Linked DNA regions of Kluyveromyces lactis. The protein of the gene in region 3 purifies or fractionates together with the protein of the main gene of each other region. This does not show direct contact. Links are inferred from orthologs where the notes say so. Each region holds a gene or a part of one and is shown on either strand. Other genes may lie near its edges.

Evidence for each region.
Region 1: the proteins of CBF5 (region 3) and KRI1 purify together in Saccharomyces cerevisiae (affinity purification with mass spectrometry; 3 studies listed by BioGRID). This does not show direct contact. The link is inferred for Kluyveromyces lactis from reciprocal best matches to the Saccharomyces cerevisiae genes CBF5 and KRI1.
Region 2: the proteins of CBF5 (region 3) and NOP56 purify together in Saccharomyces cerevisiae (affinity purification with mass spectrometry; 6 studies listed by BioGRID). This does not show direct contact. The link is inferred for Kluyveromyces lactis from reciprocal best matches to the Saccharomyces cerevisiae genes CBF5 and NOP56.
Region 4: the proteins of CBF5 (region 3) and NOP4 purify together in Saccharomyces cerevisiae (affinity purification with mass spectrometry, with the first as the bait; 3 studies listed by BioGRID). This does not show direct contact. The link is inferred for Kluyveromyces lactis from reciprocal best matches to the Saccharomyces cerevisiae genes CBF5 and NOP4.
Region 5: the proteins of CBF5 (region 3) and RBP95 purify together in Saccharomyces cerevisiae (affinity purification with mass spectrometry; 3 studies listed by BioGRID). This does not show direct contact. The link is inferred for Kluyveromyces lactis from reciprocal best matches to the Saccharomyces cerevisiae genes CBF5 and RBP95.
Region 6: the proteins of CBF5 (region 3) and UTP10 purify together in Saccharomyces cerevisiae (affinity purification with mass spectrometry; 3 studies listed by BioGRID). This does not show direct contact. The link is inferred for Kluyveromyces lactis from reciprocal best matches to the Saccharomyces cerevisiae genes CBF5 and UTP10.
Region 7: the proteins of CBF5 (region 3) and NOP1 purify together in Saccharomyces cerevisiae (affinity purification with mass spectrometry; 5 studies listed by BioGRID, with this or other methods). This does not show direct contact. The link is inferred for Kluyveromyces lactis from reciprocal best matches to the Saccharomyces cerevisiae genes CBF5 and NOP1.

Annotation. Positions count from the first base shown.
Region 1 is NC_006041.1:668,701-672,328, forward strand, and holds KRI1 (Kri1p), read right to left. Parts: upstream 2,268-3,628; coding exon 501-2,267; downstream 1-500. Other genes in the region: VPS68 (Vps68p), read left to right, coding at 2,900-3,430. UniProt on the Saccharomyces cerevisiae protein: Required for 40S ribosome biogenesis. Involved in nucleolar processing of pre-18S ribosomal RNA.
Region 2 is NC_006040.1:1,043,767-1,047,118, forward strand, and holds NOP56 (snoRNP complex protein NOP56), read left to right. Parts: upstream 1-1,310; coding exon 1,311-2,852; downstream 2,853-3,352. Other genes in the region: SWI1 (Swi1p), read right to left, coding at 1-761; PBA1 (Pba1p), read right to left, coding at 3,204-3,352. UniProt on the Saccharomyces cerevisiae protein: Required for 60S ribosomal subunit synthesis.
Region 3 is NC_006040.1:408,154-411,229, forward strand, and holds CBF5 (pseudouridine synthase CBF5), read left to right. Parts: upstream 1-1,151; coding exon 1,152-2,576; downstream 2,577-3,076. Other genes in the region: KLLA0_D04774g (uncharacterized protein), read left to right, coding at 1-693. UniProt on the Saccharomyces cerevisiae protein: Catalytic subunit of H/ACA small nucleolar ribonucleoprotein (H/ACA snoRNP) complex, which catalyzes pseudouridylation of rRNA. This involves the isomerization of uridine such that the ribose is subsequently attached to C5, instead of the normal N1.
Region 4 is NC_006040.1:1,003,760-1,007,636, reverse strand, and holds NOP4 (mRNA-binding ribosome biosynthesis protein NOP4), read right to left. Parts: upstream 2,559-3,877; coding exon 501-2,558; downstream 1-500. Other genes in the region: cyclin-dependent serine/threonine protein kinase SSN3, read left to right, coding at 1-397; CHL4 (Chl4p), read left to right, coding at 3,020-3,877. UniProt on the Saccharomyces cerevisiae protein: Required for 60S ribosomal subunit synthesis. Probably involved in the processing of 27S rRNA to produce mature 25S rRNA.
Region 5 is NC_006037.1:956,778-959,587, forward strand, and holds RBP95 (RNA-binding ribosome assembly factor RBP95), read left to right. Parts: upstream 1-1,461; coding exon 1,462-2,310; downstream 2,311-2,810. Other genes in the region: POL4 (DNA-directed DNA polymerase IV), read right to left, coding at 1-21; CTO1 (Cto1p), read right to left, coding at 15-716; KLLA0_A11088g (uncharacterized protein), read left to right, coding at 2,565-2,810.
Region 6 is NC_006042.1:1,973,864-1,978,002, reverse strand, and holds the start of UTP10 (snoRNA-binding rRNA-processing protein UTP10), read right to left. Parts: upstream 2,801-4,139; coding exon 1-2,800. Other genes in the region: KLLA0_F21164g (uncharacterized protein), read left to right, coding at 3,723-4,139. UniProt on the Saccharomyces cerevisiae protein: Involved in nucleolar processing of pre-18S ribosomal RNA. Required for optimal pre-ribosomal RNA transcription by RNA polymerase I together with a subset of U3 proteins required for transcription (t-UTPs). Involved in ribosome biosynthesis.
Region 7 is NC_006039.1:400,097-402,928, reverse strand, and holds NOP1 (rRNA methyltransferase NOP1), read right to left. Parts: upstream 1,509-2,832; coding exon 501-1,508; downstream 1-500. Other genes in the region: trans-2-enoyl-CoA reductase (NADPH) TSC13, read left to right, coding at 2,339-2,832.

The DNA.
Region 1 (3,628 bases), on a different chromosome or scaffold from region 3:
ATTCATTATATGGATGATAAGCTGGATAAAGGAGGAGTGGTGATTAGTTTTATTGAAAGTGTTAGTAATGGGAACAAGACTGAACCTAAATAAATAGTTTCGGAAAAACATCGTAACGTACTGGTCATTGTGTCAGTTTTCTTTAGCTTCTGTTTATTGACTCCTTCTGCCGAAGATAACCCAGTTCTTGGTTATCCTCCATTGAATATCAGTTTTGCCATTCACAAAGCTCATATCCTCTCTTCAGAAGATTATGAATAAGTTACGCGTTTTCCCTTTCAAAGATTTGGTTCGTGTTTGGCAGGGTAATATAAATAAAGAATTAGTATGGCAGAAATCTTAGCACAGTATACAAGGACAAAGAATAATGCAAATATGTGGCAAGAAAGGATACTGTAACCAAGTTTAATTTCCTCTCGGCAGCAACATTAGGATGGAATTTGATGATTACAATAATATTTATATGTAAGTTAACTAAATAATGCTGAATAAGTTAATCTTTAATCTCTTCTCTTTCTCTTCTTATTCTTCAATCTTTCCTTTTCTTTAGAGGTTTGATGAGCTTCACCGTCGTTCAGAGGAATTGCTAATTCATCACCGGTGAGGCCTTCTTCGGTATTGAAAACTTTCTTTCTCCATTCCCTTAGTCGCCTGCTCTTAGTAACCTTTCTTCTATCCTTTGACGTCAGTTCTTTTGGTCTATATGGTGCAAACTTCTTCAAGCCGATAAACTCATTTAGATCGGCGTCATCAGCTGTGAATATTTCTCGCGTAGTCAATCCGAATGATTCTGGAGACACTTCACGGTATCTAAACTTAACTTCAGAATTTTTCTCTGTCGAACGTCCTCTTTCTTCTTCCACCTGCTCTATGATGTCTACCTTACGTTCGTCGACTGCTTTTTCTACCATCTCATGTAACTGCTTCTTATCTTTTTTTTTGTCTCTCTTCTCTTGTATCTTGTCCTTCTTTGATTTCTTCTTTTTTGGCTCTCCAGAGTCTGATGCCAAGGTCTCATCGTCTTCCGCATGATCCTCGGTTTCCTGTTCAGCATAAAACTCTCCCATGATATCGTCATTCTCATCCCATGTTGGTTTATCTTCCTGGTTGTAGAATTCGTCGTTAAAGATGGTACCGATGACTTCATCCCATTTCCCATCTTCGAAGTTTCCGTTTATTAAGGTATCGGTTAAGGCTTTGACATGCTCTTCTTTGATATCAGCACCATATTCTTTCTTTACTTGCTCTAAAACATCAGTAAGTTGGTTAACCTTTTCCTTCTTTTTCTTTTGGACTGCCTTTTGCTTCTCTTCTTCCTCTTTATCCTTAATAGCCTTTTCCTCATCTCTCTTTCTTCTACGAGATGAGGTTGCAGATCTTCTGAGTGTAGCTTGTGTACGTGCATAAGAAACAATTTCTGCAGCATTTGGATCCTCGTAACGGAAATTATAAGCATTTTCAAATTGCTCGACAGCATCGTCAAAGTCCTCATCTTCTTCGATGTCGGTACCACGACGGTCCAAATTAATCACTTTATCGCCTTTCTTTGGAATCCACGCCTGTTGGTTAACAAACTCCTCCAAAAACTTTTCGTCATCAACTTTTGGATTCGGTAATTTGACTTCGGATTCCCTTTTATTTTGTGGCTCCTTCTTCTTCAAGAAGCCGTCTTCTTCTTCGTCTCCTTCTTCTGCATCGTCATCGCCATTGAACGCATCCTTGATCTCACTCAAAAGTTGGTTTCTCTCTTCTCTTTGATGCGAAGCAAAAGACTGTTTACCATCCACCGTTTCAAATTCCAAATCCTCATCATCATCGGCATTAACGTTACCATTTAAAAGATTCATTCTATGATAATCTTTCAAATAGACGGGTTTATGTTTCTCAGTCTTTGCCAATTTTTCAACTGCCTTTTCGGGTTCTTCGAAAAATTTCACTCCCGGGTTCAATAGTTTATCAGTCTCATTATTTTTAATAGCATCTAAGACTTTTTGAATACCTTCTTCTACTTCTTCAGTGATCAATTCACCATAATCATCTTCTTCTTCTGAGGTCGAACTATCTTCATCGTCATCGTCTACTTCAGCAGGAACCTCTTTAGAAGCAGTGACATCATGCTTTGACCCAGTTTTCACACTTATGACCTCGGTATTCTTGCCTTCAACGTCGGTAGTTGGAACCTTCGTTGAACTGCCCTTCACTGCAACTGACTCTTGCTTCTTGATGGCTTCTCTAGCCTTCTTGGCAGCAGATTTCTTTCTAGGCATTTATGTATAAGAAACTTGGTTCACTTATGTTAAACTGTTCTTTGAGGAAAAATAATCAACAGGATACGATTGCCCAAGTTAAATAGCAATGAAAGCCTCCCTTGATGCTAATCTTTCCTCTTTCTCATTGATACAGATTCGATGAGATGCGATGGGCTTCAGTTTGTAAAACTTTCGCTCCATGGTTTTCGATCAGAACATGATGAAAAAGAAATTCAAACACGTGACCGCTAACGCAGAGAAACAGGTCCTGGTTATACCGTTTGTAGTCTGTGCGCGGACGTCTTTCGAAGGCGCAAGATGTAGGCAAGCCTCAAAAACGGTAATATGGGCTTCCCACAGATAATTGTTGGGTTTAGTACTCAGTTAGAAATCACACAATCGTCGTTTACTCACCTGCAAGCTGAATCTGCAACGTATTATTTGTATCTGCATGATATTCTCCCATATTATTTCATAGGAAAATAAAGGAAATCCAACAAGTGTGAGCTTTAAAGAAGAATATATTTAAAGGTACTAAAGTAAAAGTCAACGGGACTGCTGGCTCTATTTGTTGCTGAACATCTTGTTTTAACTTACAGGGTAAATACAACGGTTATTTTTTAGATTGAACAGCTTACACGCCTAATACAATGGACACCTCACATGAAAGACTGTTTCGTTTGCCCTTCAAGTTGCCAACTTCGGTATCGGCCAAAAAGGTGTGCGTTTATGTAGCTGGTGCCTTATACGGTGCGGGTCTCTGGTCCTTCTTAGATTGTGTGTTGTACTCCAAGCATGCAAATGGTTCAGATTTGCACATTTCATTTATTGACTGGGTGCCAATGCTATGCAGTGTGCTTGGGATGGCAATTGTGAGTTCTATCGAAAAAAATAGATTGCTACAAGACGCTTTATCCTCAGGAACGTTCACCGGATCTCAATCTACTGCATGGCAGGCCAGAGTAGTACTTTTCCTAGGATTTTCACTGTTAGCAAGCGGCATTTCCGGTTCTTTGGTCGTTTTGATTGTTAAGTTTTTATTGAAGGATTATACCTCCTATCCAACCTTAGGAATGGGAATTAACAATGTGCTTGCAAACCTGGCTATTCTTCTAAGTTGCACCATGTTATGGATTGGACAAAATGTGGAGGATGAATATAACTATTCATTGACTCTATGATGTGTCAATGAAACTTCGTGAAGTATCATATTGGATTGCCGTATTTAAGAACAGTGTACAGATATAGCCTTCTGCATGTATACGTATAAATACCTTCCCAATTTTAAAACGTATTAGAAACGGTCAATTATTCCTATGACTCAACAGCCCCTCTATGAGTTGTACATGTCTCATTTTATTATCTCTGGAACACAATTA
Region 2 (3,352 bases), about 640 kb from region 3:
ACTTGAGGCGCATGTTGTTGCATTCTCGCCTGTGCTTGCGCTTGTGCTTGTATGTGCGCTTGAGCTTGGGCTTGAGCTTGAGCCTGTGCTTGTGCTTGTGCTTGGGCTTGAGCTTGAGCTTGTGCTTGAGCCTGTGCCTGCGCTTGAGCCTGTGCTTGTTGCTGCTGTTGTCTTAGTTTCTGCTGCTGTAATTGGTTGAATGCCTGCTGTTGTTGCAACATCTGTAGCTTTTGTTGCTGTTGCTGTTGCCTCTGTTGATGCGCAGCAATTATTGCGGCTCTATCCATATACTGAGGGCTCTGTCTACTAGCACTCGCCTGAGCTAAAGACTCATCGGCCATTGTAGGGGATCCACTTGGCACATTTTGCGGCGTTCCACGCTGCGATAACATCTGCTGTAAAGAAGTAGTGCCGGCGGGAGACTGCGTCGGTGCTACATTGGCTGTATTCATAGGAATTGGTCCTGCGGCTGGAGAAAACATGGATTGTGGAGAGATAGAGACTCCACCGTTCTTCATCGACGGAGGTGAATTGACAGTTGAGAATGAATTTCTAGCCAATATAGCCTGGGGCGTTACGCCTGCGTTAACATCTTCCATCGGCCCTAAATTACTATCAGGTATACCTTGCTGGTTGGGTGCGCCTGAGTTATCAAGGAAGGAAAGGTACTCATCACCGTTCGAACCTCCTTGACCGAAAAGCTGGCCATCGCCAGAATTCATTGGATCACTCTCGTCCGGGAACAAAAACTGATCGTCCATCCGTATGTACCAATAAAGTTACCGTTTGACCCTTGATATCAGGGGAGAGAAATCACGCCTAAATAAAACCTAAAACAAGGGAATTATATTCATTCTGAAAGTAGTGATAGTCAAGTGTCAATTGAATTCATTGAATACAATTTCGAGTTTCCTTTCGTTGTTTTGTTTTTGGAAAGACAAGAAAATTCCAGGTCACGTGATTTTGTCAATTATTCTATATCCGGGTAATACATTCGATCACGTGTATAACTTACCCGGCCGCGGCCGGGTAAGTAAAATATATTTCCCATTCTGCTTTTCTTTTTCAAGCTCATCGCTCTTTTTTTTTTGTTTGGAAAATTTTCATTTCGAAGCCAATAAAGAGAGATGAGCTTTCTGACCAGTGAATATATTGTATATTGTGTTATGTGCACAGCGATATTTCAATTAATACTTGTCTGTATTATCTTGAGTTTTGTTCATTCATTCCGAAGTTAGTGTGTGTTGAAGAGTCCAGATCAAAGAGATTTTACGGTAGCGAGGAAACTTTATTGATCAGAGAATTAAATAATGGCTCCTATTGAATATCTTTTGTTCGAAGAACCTACCGGGTATGGTATCTTCAAAGTGAAATTGCAACAGGATGATATCGGATCTCGTTTGAAGGAAGTCCAGCAACAGATCAATGATTTCGGCTCTTTCACTAAGTTAGTTGAGTTGGTTTCTTTTGCTCCTTTCAAAGGTGCTGCTCAAGCTTTGGAAAATGCTAATGATATTTCTGAAGGTTTAGTCTCTGAACATTTGAAAGCTTTGTTGGATTTAAATTTACCAAAGGGTTCTTCTAAGAAGACTGTTACTTTGGCTATTTCTGATAAGAACTTAGGTCCATCCATTAAAGAAGTTTTTCCATTTGTTGATTGTATTTCTAATGAGTTAGCTCAGGATTTGATTCGTGGTGTTAGATTACACGGTGACAAATTATTGAAAGATTTACAACCTGGTGATTTGGAAAGAGCTCAACTTGGTTTGGGTCATGCTTACTCTCGTGCTAAGGTTAAGTTCTCTGTTCAGAAAAACGATAACCATATCATTCAAGCCATTGCTCTCTTGGATCAATTGGATAAGGATATCAACACTTTTGCCATGAGAGTGAAGGAATGGTACGGTTGGCATTTCCCAGAGTTGGCAAAGTTAGTCCCAGACAATTACAAGTTTGCTAAACTCGTTCTATTCATTAAGGATAAGGCATCTTTGAACGAAGAATCCTTGCACGATTTATCGGAAATTTTGGATAACGATGCTGGTATCAGTGAAAGAGTGATCGATAACGCTCGTATCTCTATGGGTCAAGATCTTTCTGAAACTGATATGGAAAACGTTACCATCTTCGCTAAGAGAGTTGTCTCCCTTGTTGAATACAGGAAACAATTATACGATTACCTATGTGAGAAGATGCACACTGTGGCTCCAAACTTGTCCGAATTGATCGGTGAAGTTATCGGTGCTAGATTGATCTCTCATTCTGGTTCTTTGACCAATCTTTCTAAGCAAGCTGCCTCTACTGTCCAAATCTTGGGTGCTGAAAAGGCATTGTTCAGAGCTTTGAAGACTAAAGGTAACACACCAAAGTATGGTTTGATTTACCACAGTGGTTTCATCGCTAAAGCTAGTGCTAAGAACAAGGGTAGAATCTCTAGATATTTGGCTAACAAATGTTCTATGGCTTCTAGAATCGATAATTACTCCGATGAACCATCTAACGTTTTCGGTCAAGTGCTAAAGAAACAAGTTGAACAAAGATTGGAATTCTATGCTTCTGGTACCCCAACTTTGAAGAATGAATCTGCTATCAAGGAAGCCATCGAATTGTACAATAAAGATAAGCCAGCTCACGAAGAAGAAGTGGATACGACTGAAGTCTCCAAGAAGAGAAAGCTAGAAGAATCTAACGATGAAGAAGACTCTGAACAAGAAGAGAAGAAGGAAAAGAAGTCTAAGAAGGACAAGAAGGACAAGAAGGACAAGAAGGAAAAGAAGGAAAAGAAGGAAAAGAAAGAGAAGAAAGAGAAGAAGGATAAGAAGGAAAAGAAGAGTAAGAAAAATAAGGATTAGGTTGTGTCAACTTTTCAATCATTTTCCGAAGATTGATCGACTTTATTATTATTTTTTTTCATCATATTTCAGTTTAAACTCGTCACTTTACATTTAACTTTTCACTTTTACATTATTAAGTCATTCCGGTTTCTCATAATTATAAAGCTCTTAATTGCACCTTTAACGCTCCTACTTGTATCCTAAGACAATAAGGAAAACCTCGTGTCTACAAACATGCAACTCATCATTTAACCATTGTTACATATTACATCTGTATATCACCCAAATCATATTTTAATTAGAATACTAGACAATTATCGTCACTAAAAAACAGAACGGGTGTAATCCCAATATTTGATTAAAGACACGTTAAATATATAACCCGCCTTGAGTTGTGGTACATTCGTCAAGTTTCCAAAGCTTTAAGCATTCCGATACATAGTACTCTGTCTGTGACGGGTACGAGCAAAGTAATTTCGACATTTCATCTACTAAAGCATCAACGGTAGGGAAATTAT
Region 3 (3,076 bases):
GAGGTTATCAAAAAGAAGAAGGAAGACCTTGCATTTTTCAATGAGAAGTTTCAAAAAAGGTTGTTAGCGATGAAACGTGAAATAGATAAAAATGCTGACATGTATCATAATGAACTACAAAGCTACAGGACTAATTACGAGAAAACTTTAAGTAGTGCCTTAAAAGTTACTCTTAAAGCAGAATCTGCGCTTAGTGCCATATACAGCAATAATGTGGATAGATTCGGGTCTACAAACCGGACTTTGAATTATTTTATGAAGAAAAGAGATATGTTCCAAAATATCAGAGACAATATGGTCTCCAACAAGCCCAAACCAGAATACAAACCTGCGATCACCATTACAAGTGTTAGTGATGGCATAGAAAATAAAGACAATAGAAACGAAGAGTTACACTACATATCAGAACAAAAACAAGGTTTTAATGATTCACTCCGTGAGCTTAAAGTAGCCAATGTGAATAGCAACTGTTCCTCAAGGTCGAAACACAACGCTAAACAAATTATACAAAAGCTCCGAGAGTGGAAGCAAAACCAAAACACATCAGAGCTATCGCCAGACAAAGAAGATTCCATATTTTCAACTGGAATTGAGACAGATTATTCAACTTCAAATATCGCACAGTTATCCACTAGGAACTGGGCTAGCGCTTTGAAGAACAACTATAACGCCAAGTACTTGGAATCTATCTGAATGAAAACAGCGTACTAAGTTAACAGAATTTAACCTAACATAATGAACATATTAGCAGCTAGTTTAGTCCATTAAATAAAAATGCAAACTCACTTCCTAGAAGGCTATAAAAACTACTCTCACTTGGCAATGCTATTTCCAATGTCTGTCATATATACTTAAACGTCAAGGTGAATATAATTCATTACCCGGAAATAATTGCTTTTTGAGATATCTGAAAATTTTCTACCTGAAGAAAAAAATTTGATGAAGACGATGAGATGAGATGAGCTTTAACAAGAAAAGTATAGAGTTCTATTAGAAGTAGATTCATCTTACTGGACTAAAAACTGTCACTTTAGTGTAGATTCTGCTTTACGATATTGTTGCTACTATCCTTTTATTGTTTTCTCTCGATATTTGAAGGAGATAGTGTACTGGATTGTTCGTTAGAAAGCTAATAAGTAAGATAGAGATCGATGTCTGACGAATTTGTTATTAAGCCAGAGAGTGTTTCACCATCTAGTAACACTAGTGAGTGGCCTTTATTGTTGAAGGACTATGACAAACTATTAGTCAGAAGTGGTCATTACACACCAATTCCAGCTGGTGCCTCTCCTTTGAAGAGAGATTTGAAGTCATATATCAGTTCTGGTGTCATCAATTTGGACAAACCTTCAAACCCATCTTCTCACGAAGTTGTTGCTTGGATCAAGCGTATCTTGCGTTGCGAAAAAACAGGTCATTCTGGTACTTTAGATCCTAAAGTCACTGGTTGTTTGATCGTCTGTGTTGACAGAGCTACCAGATTGGTCAAGTCTCAACAAGGTGCTGGTAAAGAGTATGTTTGTATCGTTAGATTGCACGATGCCCTTAAGGACGAGAAGGAATTGGGCAGAGGTTTAGAAAATTTGACTGGTGCTTTGTTCCAAAGACCTCCTTTAATTTCTGCTGTTAAGCGTCAATTACGTGTCCGTACCATTTATGACTCCAACTTGATCGAATTTGACAACAAGAGGAACTTGGGTGTTTTCTGGGCTTCCTGTGAAGCTGGTACTTATATGAGAACTTTATGTGTCCATCTTGGTATGCTTTTAGGTGTCGGTGGCCATATGCAAGAGTTGCGTCGTGTTAGATCCGGTGCTTTGTCCGAAAACGATAACTTGGTCACCCTACATGATGTTATGGATGCACAATGGGTATACGATAACACCAGGGATGAATCCTACCTAAGAAAGATCATTCAACCATTAGAAACTCTATTAGTCGGTTACAAAAGAATTGTTGTCAAAGATTCTGCTGTTAACGCTGTTTGTTACGGTGCCAAGTTGATGATTCCAGGTCTACTTCGTTATGAGGAAGGTATTGAATTATATGACGAAGTTGTATTAATCACCACCAAGGGTGAGGCCATTGCAGTTGCCATTGCTCAAATGTCTACTGTCGATTTAGCTACTTGTGACCACGGAGTTGTTGCCAAGGTTAAGAGATGTATCATGGAAAGAGACCTATATCCAAGAAGATGGGGTCTTGGTCCAATTGCCCAAAAGAAAAAACAAATGAAGGCTGACGGTAAGCTAGACAAATATGGCCGTGCCAACGAAAATACTCCAGAGACCTGGAAGAAGACTTACGTTTCATTGGAGAATGCTGAACCAACTACCGCCCCTGCATCCAAATCAGAAGAAAAACCACTGATCAAAGAAGTAGAAAAGAAGGAAGTCGAACAGAAGGAAGAATCAAAGGAAGAATCAAAGACACCAGAAGAAAAGAAGGACAAGAAGGAAAAGAAGGAGAAGAAGGACAAGAAGGAGAAAAAGGAAAAGAAGGAGAAGAAGGAGAAGAAGAGAAAGGCTGACGATGATGAGTCTTCCGAGAAGAAGAAGAAGAAGTCAAAGAAATAAACGACTACAATCTAAGTCCTTCATATCATCGATCGAAATTTCAAAACTGCATAGAGTTTATCATTTAGGTTATGTACACTGTAGAATATTTTTAATCATTGAAAAACGTATTTCGTCACGACTGTTTTTTGTACCCTGTGTCGATGTTGTATATCATTGTATTCGTATATATAAATTTGTAAATTATTTATGCGCGTGTGAAGACACCATTACGTCTTCAATTGAAGTAATGGCAAAAAGTAATGGTAAATGTATGAGGTAGATAGAAGATTTGATAATAATACTTGGAGTTTTTTTTTTTTTGGCAGACATCAATTGTTCGGAACCAAATAGAAGTCGGGAAACTTGCAGATTGGTATGTCTTTTATTTGCATGATGTCATTTGCTCAATAAAAAGGTAAATGAAGGTTAAAATCTATGCAAATGGTTACATTGTGAACAGAAGTCGAGGTGTCACAATGAAACGTCCCGTTTCTTACTTTACCAGTATTAACAATCAT
Region 4 (3,877 bases), about 600 kb from region 3:
TTTAGACATTCTTTACCGTCTATTGCAGTATGATCCTATCAAGAGAATCGATGCAATCGACGCTTTAGACCATGTCTATTTCACCAACGGCGACCCTCCTGTCTGTGAAAATGTGTTCGAGGGTCTCAACTACAAATACCCACCAAGGCGCATTCACACAAACGATAACGACATTACGAATGTCGGCAATGATAATAATCAAGCTAATCACTCTCAAAAACAACCAATGCATGGTAACAATAATAATAAGAATGGGAACATGAACGGATTAGGTGTAAACAAACGTATCTTGGCAGCAGCAGCGGCAGCTGCCGCTGCAGCTGCTGTGTCTGGTAATGGAAACAACCCCACAAGCAATACTGCAACCGGAGGATCAGCACGGAAAAAGAGAAAATGATTCTATAATTGAAATGCATGTTATTTAATATACAGATTTTATATCCTAGAAACTTCATTGCTTCGGAATGCTTTGAATTTTTGCCTTTGACTATTGTTTACATTCAAGAACGGCCCTTGTTCTTTCTTCTACGTTTAGATCCAATAATCTGTTTAATATTATTACTTAGACCAGATTTTGTTTCCTCTTCTACTGGTTGAGCCACTTTTTCTTCTTCTTTATTCTCTTCATCATCTCTTTTTCTCTTGAAAGATATCAATCTAGATTCTTTGACCTTTTCTCTTCTTCTCTTCACAACGTTAGCGTTTTCGATAGCAAATTCGACCACCAGTCTTCTTTTTTTGAAACTGTCTGCATCAAGCTGTTTCTTTTCATCATCCGTAAGTCCTTCTAAGATTTCGTCCCTACTGACTTCATGAGCATTTAACCATCTTAGACACATTAGCGCAGCTTTATGATCCCTGAATTCAACAAAACCATACCCTCTACTTCTACCACCGCTAGATCCTTTAATTTCCATGATAATTTTAGATTGTCTAACAATACCTTGTTTCTTGTCCTTCTTCTTTTGAGCTTCGATTTCTTCTTCAGACATGAACTTGTACTTTTCCTTAGTAGATCTGACGATTTCTTCTTTATTCAATGCGTGTCTCTTGTTTTCGTTAACTTCTTTGGCGAACTCTACTACAGCTTTACGAGCTAGCGCCTTTAGACCCTTCTCAGTCATTGCTCTTGGAATATTTCTGATAGCCAATCTAGTCATCGAAAGATGTAACGTTGGATTCTTCTTCAATTGTTCGACTCTTAACTTGTAAGATTTTTCTCTGACTTCCATATCAGCAGGAGTTAACAACTGTGAAAGCTTTGAACCTGCAACAATTCTACCTTCATTTAACAAATATAGATTACGTCTGTCCTTTTCACCTGGTGCCTTACCAAGAACTTCTTTTCTCTTCTCGGCATTTCTCTCAAACATTCTTCCAGCAGATTCTCTATCAAGAGTTGGAGAAATTGCAAGAACACGACCCTCATAAACATACTCTGGGGAAACATCATCACTTATTAGAAGGGATGTACTTCCTGTAGCAGGAGCATTATTTAGACAGTCGTTGTAAGCATCTTCGCTTCTGAATGCAACGAAAGCAGTACCCTTCGCCAAACCAGTTTCTTTATCAATCACTGGCAAAGCGTATTTTACTGGGCCGAACACGCCGAAATGACGTTCTAAGGATTCTTGAGTGGCATCGTATGGAACATTACGCACAAAAATAGAGAAATCTTCCTTTCTGTTCTTCTTTACGGTATCCTGTTCTGGTGTTTCCTCCTCTTCGCTGATTTCTTCATCAGAATCCAAGACGATGTCACTTTTTTCTTCTTTTTCTTTGTCGTCCTGATTGTCAGCGTCCTCTTCACCCGAATCAGAACCATCATCCTCATCATCATCATCATCTTCTTCTTCTTCTTCCTCATCTTCATCAGACGCTTCCAGTTCCTTATGTTCGTTCTTATAGTCCTCCCATCTGTTCTTTTGAATTGCAAAATCAACAGCCACTTTCCTGCCATCGATCTTCAAATCCTTAGTGCCTTCTATAGCAGCCTTACAGTTAGAGATCCTGTTCATTGTAACAAAAGCAAACCCACATAATCTACCGTCTCTCTTCCTTGGGATCGTAGCTTCAACAACGGTACCGTACAATCCGAAGATTTTCTTCAGTTTCGTCGGATCACGACAGGACCATGGCATATTTCTGATAATTAATTTCGGTTTACCCTTCATTAAATCATTATCATCTTCGGGTTTGCTTTCCTCCTCATCTTTAACATTATCTACGGAAGGTGCTGATGATACCTCATCCGCATCCTTTTTACCACGGGAACGTTCTCTTCTTTTGGCAATATCGATTCTCAACAAACGTCCCATAAACTTCGTCTTTCTAGCCTGATTCAAAGCAGTCTTAGTATCATCTTCAACTGCAAAACTAACAAAACCAAATCCTCTGCTTGCACCCTCACCATCTTTGACAATAACAGCATGCTTGATAGGAGAGAATTGGGAGAAGAAGTTACCGAATTCTTCATCGGTAGACTCAAACGGCACACCACGAACAAATAACGTCTTCAGATCAAGACCTTCATCCTTAATAACTTTCTTATCACTCATCACAGATATATTAAGCACAAATCTGCGTCGTTTGATGTAGACGCTAACAAAATAAGTATATAAATGTGTTCATTAACCTTCTACTATATATATACTAGATATCAATACTAATGGTTCTTGGGCGATGAGATGAGATGAGCTTTAAAATTTTTTGACAAAAAGAAATCAAGCGGACTGAAAAGCTGTAAGATTTAAAGAGATGAACAGATCACGTGTGGATATTCCTGGCATATACGGCTGTTCAATACCTCTGTTCTCCGATGCAATACAACTTTCCTGGTTCTATGAAGATATTCTGTCAATCTTATACGACAGTTAGACCAATTTAGTTGATTGTTCTCACTTTCTTGTCAGAATCAATACTATATAAAATGCATGGAATTTTAACATCGACTATAATCTGAAACTATGGAAAGGTTTGATGACCCTTAATCCTTATGTTCTTTTTATGATGGTGTTATATGGACGGTGAACAGCATATTATTGGGACGGCCAAGATGGAACGCACGCTTCGAAATGACAATAATAATGTAGATATTACAGTTACAAAGAATAAACTTGCTAGGCTCGGTGCACAGGCAATAGTGAAACTGATCACTACCTGGCTTGATACACATGCCATTAATGATTCACAGCTGGTCTCGGATAATTTAGTTGAATTGGTGAAAAAACATGGGGTACGGAATATTGCTAATATGGCTGTCACGAGTTGGTGGCCTTCTTTATCTCGAGAACAGTTATCACAACTGGATATCTGGTCTGTTTTATGTGACACTTCAACTAACCAATGGGTAGCGTCCAGATGTTTGGATAGAGATGGAAAGCAATTTATCGTAAATGTGGAGCCGAATGAGCTTATCAATGGTATGCGCGAACAGTTTAAACGACTTTACGAATTGGATGTTAACATTGAGGAAAACGATGATTTAAGTATGTACATATGCCGAGTTCAGTTGTTCGAATCAACTGGCGACCTTATTATCAATACACACAAACCGTTCTACTTTGCTATTATGCCGGGACACTCGATTATCTTCCACTCGTTGCAGTCTGATACTCACTCACAACTTATATTACTGGCATTCTCAAAGCTACATTCCAAGACAATCAGGTTGGAAAGAATTAGCAGGAAACCAACCACGTCATTACACGAATTAAACCTTTCTCTAGGGCTGCCGTCTGTAAATACTACAGGGTATGGGATTTGGTCCGTATATTCGGGCAAGGATGCACTAGAGCCATCTCCACTAATAGAACCAAAAGATCATCCAATAAATCATACCCTGTCAGATTCTTTAATTAAGGACCAGACCAGACGA
Region 5 (2,810 bases), on a different chromosome or scaffold from region 3:
GAACTTATGACCGTTTAACATTTTACCTCATCGAACCTTTGAATAGTAGGAACATCTATATCCAAATGCTTCAAGCGATCGCCAATAATGTATCCATCTACTTCTTTTGCCAGAATACAAGGCAAATCGCCAAAACTATCTCCAATATAAGTTATGCTCTGGTCCCCTTGCACTTTGTCTAAATCGCAAATCTCTTTCAACATCTCGTACTTGTCCCAACCGGTCAATATTTGCTTTGTAAATTGTCCGCTGTAAACTTCCCCATCACGTGATTTTAATTCGTTACAGTAGATATCCGATTTGGAAATACCCGTTAGGTCGTGTATGAGGTCCTTGGACCAGTTCAACGAAAGCACGTACGTCTTGTTATACTGCTGCATCAGCTCCTGTAATCCAGGTCTGATATCTACTTTTTCCTTAACGAGCTGCAGGAGATCTTTGATCACCACATCTTTAAAATGATCCTGCAATTCTAGTTCGTTGATTGAACTTAGCTCACACCTTCTGCTTGCACGTTCATAATCACAAACCACTTTCCAAGCATCAGGTGCCAAATTCTCTGGTTTTGGAATATAGCATTCCTCGTATATCTTGGTATAATGAGTCCATGCGACAGGTACTGATTTCAAATTGTAAACAGATTGCCCAATGATACTGGTGGTATCACTAGTGGTGATAGTGCCATCAAAATCAAGTACAAGAATCCGTTTCAACATAATTTTTTCTTAACACAACTCCGACCAGCCAATGTTTTATCTAGCGTGAAGGAACTGGTCTGCCATACTTGCCGAGTTTCCATTCAAGAGTTCAAGATTTAATGTGAAAGAACGATTTCATTTTGTTTGGGATTTAAACAAAGGCTATTCCTTAGTGGAGAAAAAAACTATTGAAAGGACAAGAATAGAGAGAGGTCTACATTGGGAAATTCTAAGAACACATTAAATATAATAAAAAGAATGTAATCAAGCTTCTATATTAAGTCCCCGTAGTAGTATCGTAGGGACCCAACTCAAACTGTTGATTTTGGTATTTCAGTCTATGCTCAGGCCCAATTATGATTCTCGAGGACAGAAATACTAACCGTTGAATAAAACAAGAGAAGAAAATCCTCTCAAGTCCAACACAGTAGTCTGAACCAAACGATGAGACCCAGCCGAGCAATAAGTTTATGATTGGTAGACTAAAAACGAAATCATATGTCAGAAAATATCATTCGAGATGAGAATATAAAGTGGTACATACGAGTTCAAAGTTCATTGAGTCCATTTGAATCTTTTTTCCCATAGTAAATAAAGTATTTCTTTTTGAAAAACTGAGCTGAAAATTTGGTGAAAAGAAGAGCTTTAGATGAGATGAGATGAGATGAGATAGTATACAGAGTATATCTGAACTGTAGAAACTATTACTGGCTCTGTTAATATCATAGAAATATAGCAACACAGCAATAAACAATATATTAAGATGTCGGAACACGTACCTGCTTGGAAAAGGTTCCAGATCAAGAAGTCAGAGGAAGGGAATCAGATCGATGATGAGCTAGACTCACTCATTGTGTCTACACATCTTTCCAACGGTTCACTTTCGAAGAAAGAGAAGAGAAGGATTATTAGAGGTGGCAATGCGGATAGTAAAAGCACTGGCAACAAAGTTGCAAAAAAGAGTAAAGACAGGAAAAGAGAGAAATTGGCCAAAGAGGATAGACTTAAGAAGAAGGAAACTGTGTTGAAGGATCAATTGAGGTATTTGATCGATTTCTATACATTGAAGTTGGAAGTGGAGCTGCCGGAAGCCGTGAAAGAGCTTCCTAGTGTAAAGGAAAACGTATCAATTATATCACCCTCTGAGGAATTAGCTGACAAAAACGTAGTAAGAGATGTATGGAAGTTCAGTAAACAGAAACAGAATTGGCTCATCAAACATTTCGTTATCACTGATGAGATCCCATCAGCATTCAACCCGCTATTAGTGAGATATTTCCAGGACTTACAGGGTGGTTCGAAGGCTCAGCTACAAGAAAGTTGTTTGGATGTTATCGAGAAGCAAAATAAATATCTAGAGCAGCAGAAAGAGGAAATGGCTAAGATTGTGCTGGGAGAAGCTACAGAAGCATCCAAAGATCAAGAGAAACAGAGCGCCGATGATGAGTCCAAGGATAAAGATGTCAAAACAGAAATGTCCAAAAAGTCTGACGAAAGTGAAGAGGATACAGCTAATAAAATAAACGAGATCCTACCACCTAGCCAAGAGCTACTGGAAAGAGTACGTTCCATGCTCGATACCTGGGGTGTTAAATATGAACTAAATAGCTGAATAGTGCGTGTAACTACTTTTTATCATTCAATAAAAGAAATGGTCACGTGATATTATCATCACTACCGCTCGGCGCCTTTTTCCCATTATCAGAAAAGGTTGAGTGATGGATGGATACATCTTAGAAGCATCATGACAATAGCAATGATCACGACGAGCGAATGCAGTACTTTCATTGACCTGGAACCAAGCCGGGCCATTGCAATTCCTTACAGTATTCATGCAATCAAATTACAGGGATAGTATACATTGTAATGAATCGAAATATCGAGACTGTAAATGAAGAAGGATCTTTTGTGGTTGATCTTCTGCGAAAGCCCTTTAAACTCCCGTCACGGTACGATGATCTCCCGTGGGAATCAATCGAGGAGTCAAAACTGACTGAAACAGATATATTGGATCGAAAACATGTTTTTCCGCTGCTCAAAGTAATGCCGATACGTCTCTTCACAACTGACATTGAACGAAGTGAAATGTTCGAATCTTTGAAACAATACTGT
Region 6 (4,139 bases), on a different chromosome or scaffold from region 3:
CAGCGACTAGTATATCTGCTCTAATAGAGGGTAATTTCATACTTCCGTTGTTAGATTTTAGAGAAGAAATAGTGTTCAAAAGACAAGAGGACAGAGTTTCCTGAGCGTAAAGTACAGGCAAACCACCATCATGGTCTAAAGTTTCCAAGTCGGACAAAAGGTTGAATAAGGCATTCAATAGATTTTCGTTACTCTTTACCTTCAATTTATCCAAAGTCTCCAGAATAATAGTCATTTTCTTTAGGTGGGCTTCGGCAATTTGAGAAATATCTTGTTTCTGTAGGGCGGACTTGTTAACCGTAGACGATCTTCTTCTTCTACGTTTAGTCAAATCTGTTTGATCTTCGCTGTTTATGGTATTACTTTTCAACACAGAGACAAAAATATCTGCAGTTAATGGAAGACTTTGAAGGGTTTCTAGACCATCATATGATAGTTCTTTGTCAACTGAGGAGTCTATTATACTCTGAACAATTTTTAATTGGTTTGGGAATTTCAATGTTGGATACAAAGATAAAATTCTGTCTGCCATGATATTCGAAAGTTGTTCATATTCTGATTCCAAACAGTTAATCAAAAAATCTATCGCGAAACTGTTTTTTTCTTTTGGTGCAACAATGGCACATACCGCAGTTTCGAAGTCTTTGAAATTGGTTTTATTTTTGATGCACTTCGTTTCCCAGGAACTTCTTTCCGTGATGTATGTGGCCATAAATTGTTCGAACACCTTTGAATATGTAAAAGCATATTGTGGCACAGCGGTCAAGAGCTTTAACATTATAGTCTTCGAATAGGCGAGAGGAAGATGCAGTGCCTGGTTGCACCAAAACAGCATATATACCATGTCATTTTTGGATGGAATGACGAGGGATGAAATATCTGTACTTTCAACGATGTAATCGCTTAAAAAGTTGGTCAACCAAAACTTGCTATCTTTCGGACTTAACATTGGCACCTTTAAATTCTCTCCGTAGAGTACGTTAGATAGGAAATACTTTGCTGTGAAAGGTCTCTTGGCTATCTGTTGTAGAACCTTTTTCGTGTTGGAACGAACAGATCTAGAAATATCCATCAATGCTGTCACTAGAATAGGTACCAAAGAGAAAAGATCCGTTTGCTCATCTATACCATTGATGAATTTGCTTAACTGTGTTAGTGAAATCAATCTGAGAGCAACAGGCGAACCAGGGGATACGATGATTCTGAGCACAAACGTTATCCTGCTCTCTAAAGTAGTGAAGAAGGAGGATAAAAATAGACCTGGTTGATATCCTTTACTTACAGCTTCCACAAATAATGACAACAGCTTGACAAACTTTTCATCTTTAACAAGAAGCATAGACTCCGCTTTAGTGGAGATGAACTCTGAGTTTTTGGTCATGAAATCTTTAAATGGAACAGCTGAACCATTCGCGGTTGATGCTTTAGCATCATCTAGAACTTTAATGATATCTTCACCAGATTGTTCCGCACTGTTCTTGACGGAAAATAATGAAGTTGTCAATCTTATTTCGAAAACTTCTCCGGTCAGGTTTAGTGCTTGAAGACATTTCAAAACTAGTCCCTCGTTAATGGAAATGAAGTATTCAAAAACATCGATTAATTGTGACTTGTCCTCTAGAACTTCAGATAAATGTATCAAATCAGTGATGATAAATCTAACTTCGTATTTTTCCAACTTAATCTTCCTTAAGATTTTGACAATTTGACTCAATTTATCATGATCATATCTGATGACAGACCTAATGTATGCAGTGAAAAATTTATCTGAGGAATATTTGTTTTCATTACTCAGGAACTGTAGTAGATATTCGAATGGGAAAGAATTATCAACGAGTTTATAGATCTTGACCGGTAATTGATCCACATTACCTACACCTTTCAAGGTTTGGAAAAGTTTTGAGATTGTGACGAGAGCTTTTTTTCTAGCATCGTCTTCCTTTAAATTGGCCAAGATAGTTTCCGTAGCCGCAATGATAATGCTTTTGTTCAAAGGCAATGCGGTGGCAAGTACCGCGAGCATAGTATGAGCAGCCATTTGACAATCGCTTGAATCCGATGCCAAAAGTTTTGCGGAAATTTCCAAAATCAATGGGACCAATTTATTTAACTTATCTTCATCGTTCGCATTGAAAGCGATCACGTTAATGAAACAACATGTGGTAAATAGCAGTTGATTCGTATAGGTAACTTTTTGCTTGATAATCTTGGACAGATAATTTGAATAAAGCTTCAAGAAGTCCATATCGTTAAACAATTTGATCAACGTCAAATCGGTTGGATTCTTATCGTTTCTGACAAAATTGGTAAATGGGTTGAACAAAGGTGGTAGCTTAACGATATTGAGGATCCTTTTGAACACCGGCGTTTGGTATTGGTTCAAAGTAGATAGAAGAAGCATTTCGGCGTTATGGATATGAATTTGGAACCTACGAATCAACCATTCCGTAGCATGCAAAGCTGGAGTTAGATGCCATTTCGGCGAAATCAACATCAAATACGCATTAACTGCGTTATCCAAATCTCTAATCTGATCCTTTGTTTGAACGTTTCTATCAATGGTCACGGAAGATGCACTGAATAAGGAATTAGTGAAAACTTTGAACCTCAAGTCCAAACTCACCAAAGTATGAAACGATTCCAACGCTGTATCGTATATATACTCATAGTCCTGAGTAGCAGCAGTCTTCGGATTGTAAACCAAAGACGCAGAATGTAACTTTTGTCTTCTCTTTCTATCAAGAGCAACAGTAGCGTTATTCTGCGCTACCTGCGCTAATTGATCACGTAAAGATGACATTCTATATCGTCTCTGCCGTTGCCTGGAGTACTAGCAAGTCGAACCTGATCAAAAATCTATCGCCAGGAGATGATTGCAAAGCCAACGATTTGAACCTCATCTCATCTCATCTCATCGCTACTTTTTTTTTCTTTCACTCTTTAAAATTTTCGATTTGTTCATGCTGCGGTGAAAAGAAATTCATTTATGGTCACGTGTATGAAAATGGAGTGATACCATAAACTTGGGTCAAGTCTCCCCGTAGCTCAATATGCAAGCTACTGGTCAGTTTCCACCTGCTTTCGGATCTATTGAAGTACATACAGACTTAAGAGTTGTTTCAATACATCATGTGCCGTGCAAGGTCACACTACAAGTAATGGCTAGTTTCTGAGGAATTTCGGATCTCAGCCAACCGTATAAGCATGTTTGGCATAAACAAGGCTCATAGCAGCTATCTACTTAGCAATGCCTCAACGTTTCCATTTGAGGGTGTGTGTGAGTTGTGTGCGTTGGGCCTGCGTTCAGACTGGCTTTTCAGCAAAGGACCGGCTCATATAAGAACAAAAGAAAAACACACCTGGCTGGAGCGATGTGGTTATGCGGCGATGTCTCTGCGATTAAACTTAGATCCGAGATCTAGGCGGATGGTTCGTCCGAACCAATCTCAATGCAAAGGCTTGGGTGAACTGCAAAAATGTTTTCTTCTGGTAAACAAACTACTTTTTCGGAAGTTTGAGGCTGAGCACCTTCCTTACCTTAGTTTGCATTATGTAATTTACCGCATTATAAATTTTGTACCGTTTATTTTATATATAGGCAACGACAGGTTTAAGGAACCTTCTATCAAGATTGAATAGCGATGAGCTTAGGGGTTACAACTTGCGGAGAGATTGTTTATCCAAATAACGACATCAGTTATTGAGCCATTAATAATTCAGTCATGAAGTGTAGTACTTTGTTGTTATCTTTGGCTTTAGCTTTAGATTCCGTTTCTGCACGCGAAGGGTGCGATAAGAAATTGAGAGAGTCCTCTCATAAGGAGAAAGAGTTCAACCTAACTCGTGAATACGCTGCTGAGGTTGCTAGAGGTGTTGTTAAGTATGGTGACTTGGTTCATGTTTCTACTTTGAAGGATGGAAAGACTCCGGTGACTTTCCCAGAATACTATGTATCTTCTGATTTATGTGAGGGTGTGAATTCCACAGGTAACCCAATCTTGGTCTTGATGAACGTTTCCTCCACTTTGAGAAACTATCAGGATAACGGCAAGCTTTCTATTACCGTGGAGGACAGAAGGCCCAGACATCACGCTATGAGTTCTCCTCGTGCCAATCTTTTCGGTTCGTTGAAGAAACTT
Region 7 (2,832 bases), on a different chromosome or scaffold from region 3:
ATGGTTGTTATTGATATATATAAGTTATATATAGTATGTGATAATAATAATAATATATCTACAAATTAAATGTACAAAATAAGGTTAAGAGTGTTCGAGTATTAATACCGTTATTGTGAAAATGGGTTCTTTTGTATTGTCAAGTTGATGAACAAGGTTTTGAAATCTTCTTCTATTCTTTTCCCGTCAGTTAGTCGATCTCCTTTGAACAGGCGAAGGACCTGGACTGTAAGTAAAAGAAACACACAGAGTGACAAAATACAAGTGAAGACGAAGTGGAGACTTTTCTAGTTTGTAGAACTTTATCACGAATCAATGAGATGCAAAATTTCAAATAATATTATAGTGTTAATGATTGTATTGGAATGAAGGTTTTTAAAACTAAAAAGTAAGCAAAAAAAGATTAGAAGCCAAAAAAAAAAGATTAATAGAAGGAATCATGAACCAAGTAGGCATACTCTAGCATTGGTTTCAAAATATCAATATTTCTTTAGCAGCTCTTATAATCCACTTCTCATGTATTTACCGATAACGATACAATGGTCTCTTTCATAAGGTTCCAAAGTCAATTGTTCCAAAGGCTTAATCTTTTCTTCTCTCAATTTTTGAACTTCTCTAGCGAACACAGTTTCAGCATCAACAGTAGAATCGATACAGTTAGCCTTGATAGAGATAACGACACCACCTTGATCCTTCAAGAACATATGAGAGTTCAAAGCAATAATACGGGCTTGATCAGGTTGAGCAACATCTGCGAAGACGGCGTCAACCATACCGATAAGCATTCTGTATTTTTGTGGATGTCTAGCATCTTCAATAATTGGGATAACATTTGGTCTCTTCTTAGCCATAGAGATCAATTCTCTACCTGGTCTGTGAGAGAACTCAACAGCGTAAACCAACCCTTCTGGACCAACGACATCGGAAACGTGGGACACAGATGTACCGGAAGCAGCACCTAGATATAGAACCTTCTTACCTGGAGCAATGAATAGTTCATCCAAACCACCCATGATACCGGCAGCCAATTTGGATCTGAAAGGATTCCAAACACGGTATTCCACCTTAGTTGGTGGGACACCTTCTTCAGTGGAAGGTTCTTCAACTGAAACTCTCTTTTCACCGTACACAGATTCACCTGGAGCGATGTTCTTTGTGACCAAAAGATCTTCTTTACCTCTGGCAATAAAAACACCAGCATGCTTATGAGGTTCGATAACAACCTTAGCACCACCACGGGCACCACCACGAGCACCACCACGAGCACCACCACGAGGACCACCTCTGGAACCACCACGGGCACCACCAAATCCACCTCTGGAACCACCGCGAGCGCCACCACGAGGACCACCACGACCACCACCGAATCCACCTCTGGAACCACCACGGGAACCACCGAATCCACCACGGCCACCGCCAAATCCACCTCTGGAACCACCTCTGGAACCACCGCCGAATCCACCACGGGAACCGCCTCTGCCACCTCTAGAACCTGCTTGGAATGCCATTATTATTCTTAACTAGTTGGGAATTATCTGTCTTGAGATATAATGATTATGCTGCTGTTGCTGCTCTTGATCTTCTTCTCTCTAAATTGGACAAAGGAAAAAAAAAGAATTAAAATTGTGAATCAGTAACAGGTATTGTCGTTGACTTTGAAACAGAATCCTGGACGGCTGTAAAACTCTTCTAAAATGGGTAGATTATAGGAACAGAAAACGTACACAATACTATTCTATAAACAATTGATTACTTCTTTCAAGCAAGAACAACTTAATAAACTCTTACTTTACATTCGATGAGATGAGCTTTCGAAACTTTTTTTTTTCAGCTGAAAAATTTTGAATGAAAAAACAATATTAAATTTCTTTTTCAAAGTTCTCATCTTTGGTCTTTCTGTGCCTCTTGGTACGTACAGAACGATGAACGTTAAAGTCACATGACTATTGTCACATCTGTATCACGTGATATGAATTGATTATATAATCATATGAATCTACAACTTTTCAAGATTTTTTTTTGCTATGTTGAGCCAGATACTTGCTACAATGCGTACGTTTACTAAGGATTTCTATACAAGTTTTTCATAGTCAACATTGCGAAAATATGCAGATGAGATCATTTTTGGTTGTTGTTGTGAATATCGGTATCTTTATAAAAGCAGATAAAAAATCAGAGAAGTGGAACCAGCTTTGACTTTTGTACGTTATAGCAATCAGAATCTGAATTAGTATATCTGGATAAATTTTCTGGTTTAGTTTTGAGATCCTATTTTCCAAACTATCGCTGTATATTTTAATCCGACAGTTGAAGATATTACCTAGATAAGTGTCCCTTTATGTCTGCATCCAGTTCAATTTTTATTAAATCACGCTCAAAGAGCTTAAAAGACGTCAAGTTGGAAGTTCCAACAGAAAATACGTTGACATATCAATCTGTTTTGCAACAGATTTCGAAAAGCAATCACAATATTAGCGTTAACAGGTTAAGGTTAAGCTATCTGAAAGAAGGTAAGCAAGTCGCCATTGGGCCCTCTGAATTGAACGATGTTGGTAAGAAAAACACGTTCGATTCAGTTAACGAGTGGTATGTTAAGGATTTGGGTCCGCAGATCTCTTGGAGACTGGTGTTTTTCATCGAATATTTGGGTCCGATCTTGATCCATTCTTTAGTTTACCTTTTGTCTTTAAACGCAACAGTTAGGGACAAATTTCATTCTAAAAATGTTCCATATAACGATTTCTTCAATAAGTTCATCTACCGTCTGATTATGGTCCATTATCTAAAGAGAGAATTCGAAACATTGTTCATTCATTCTTTCTCCCTGGAAAC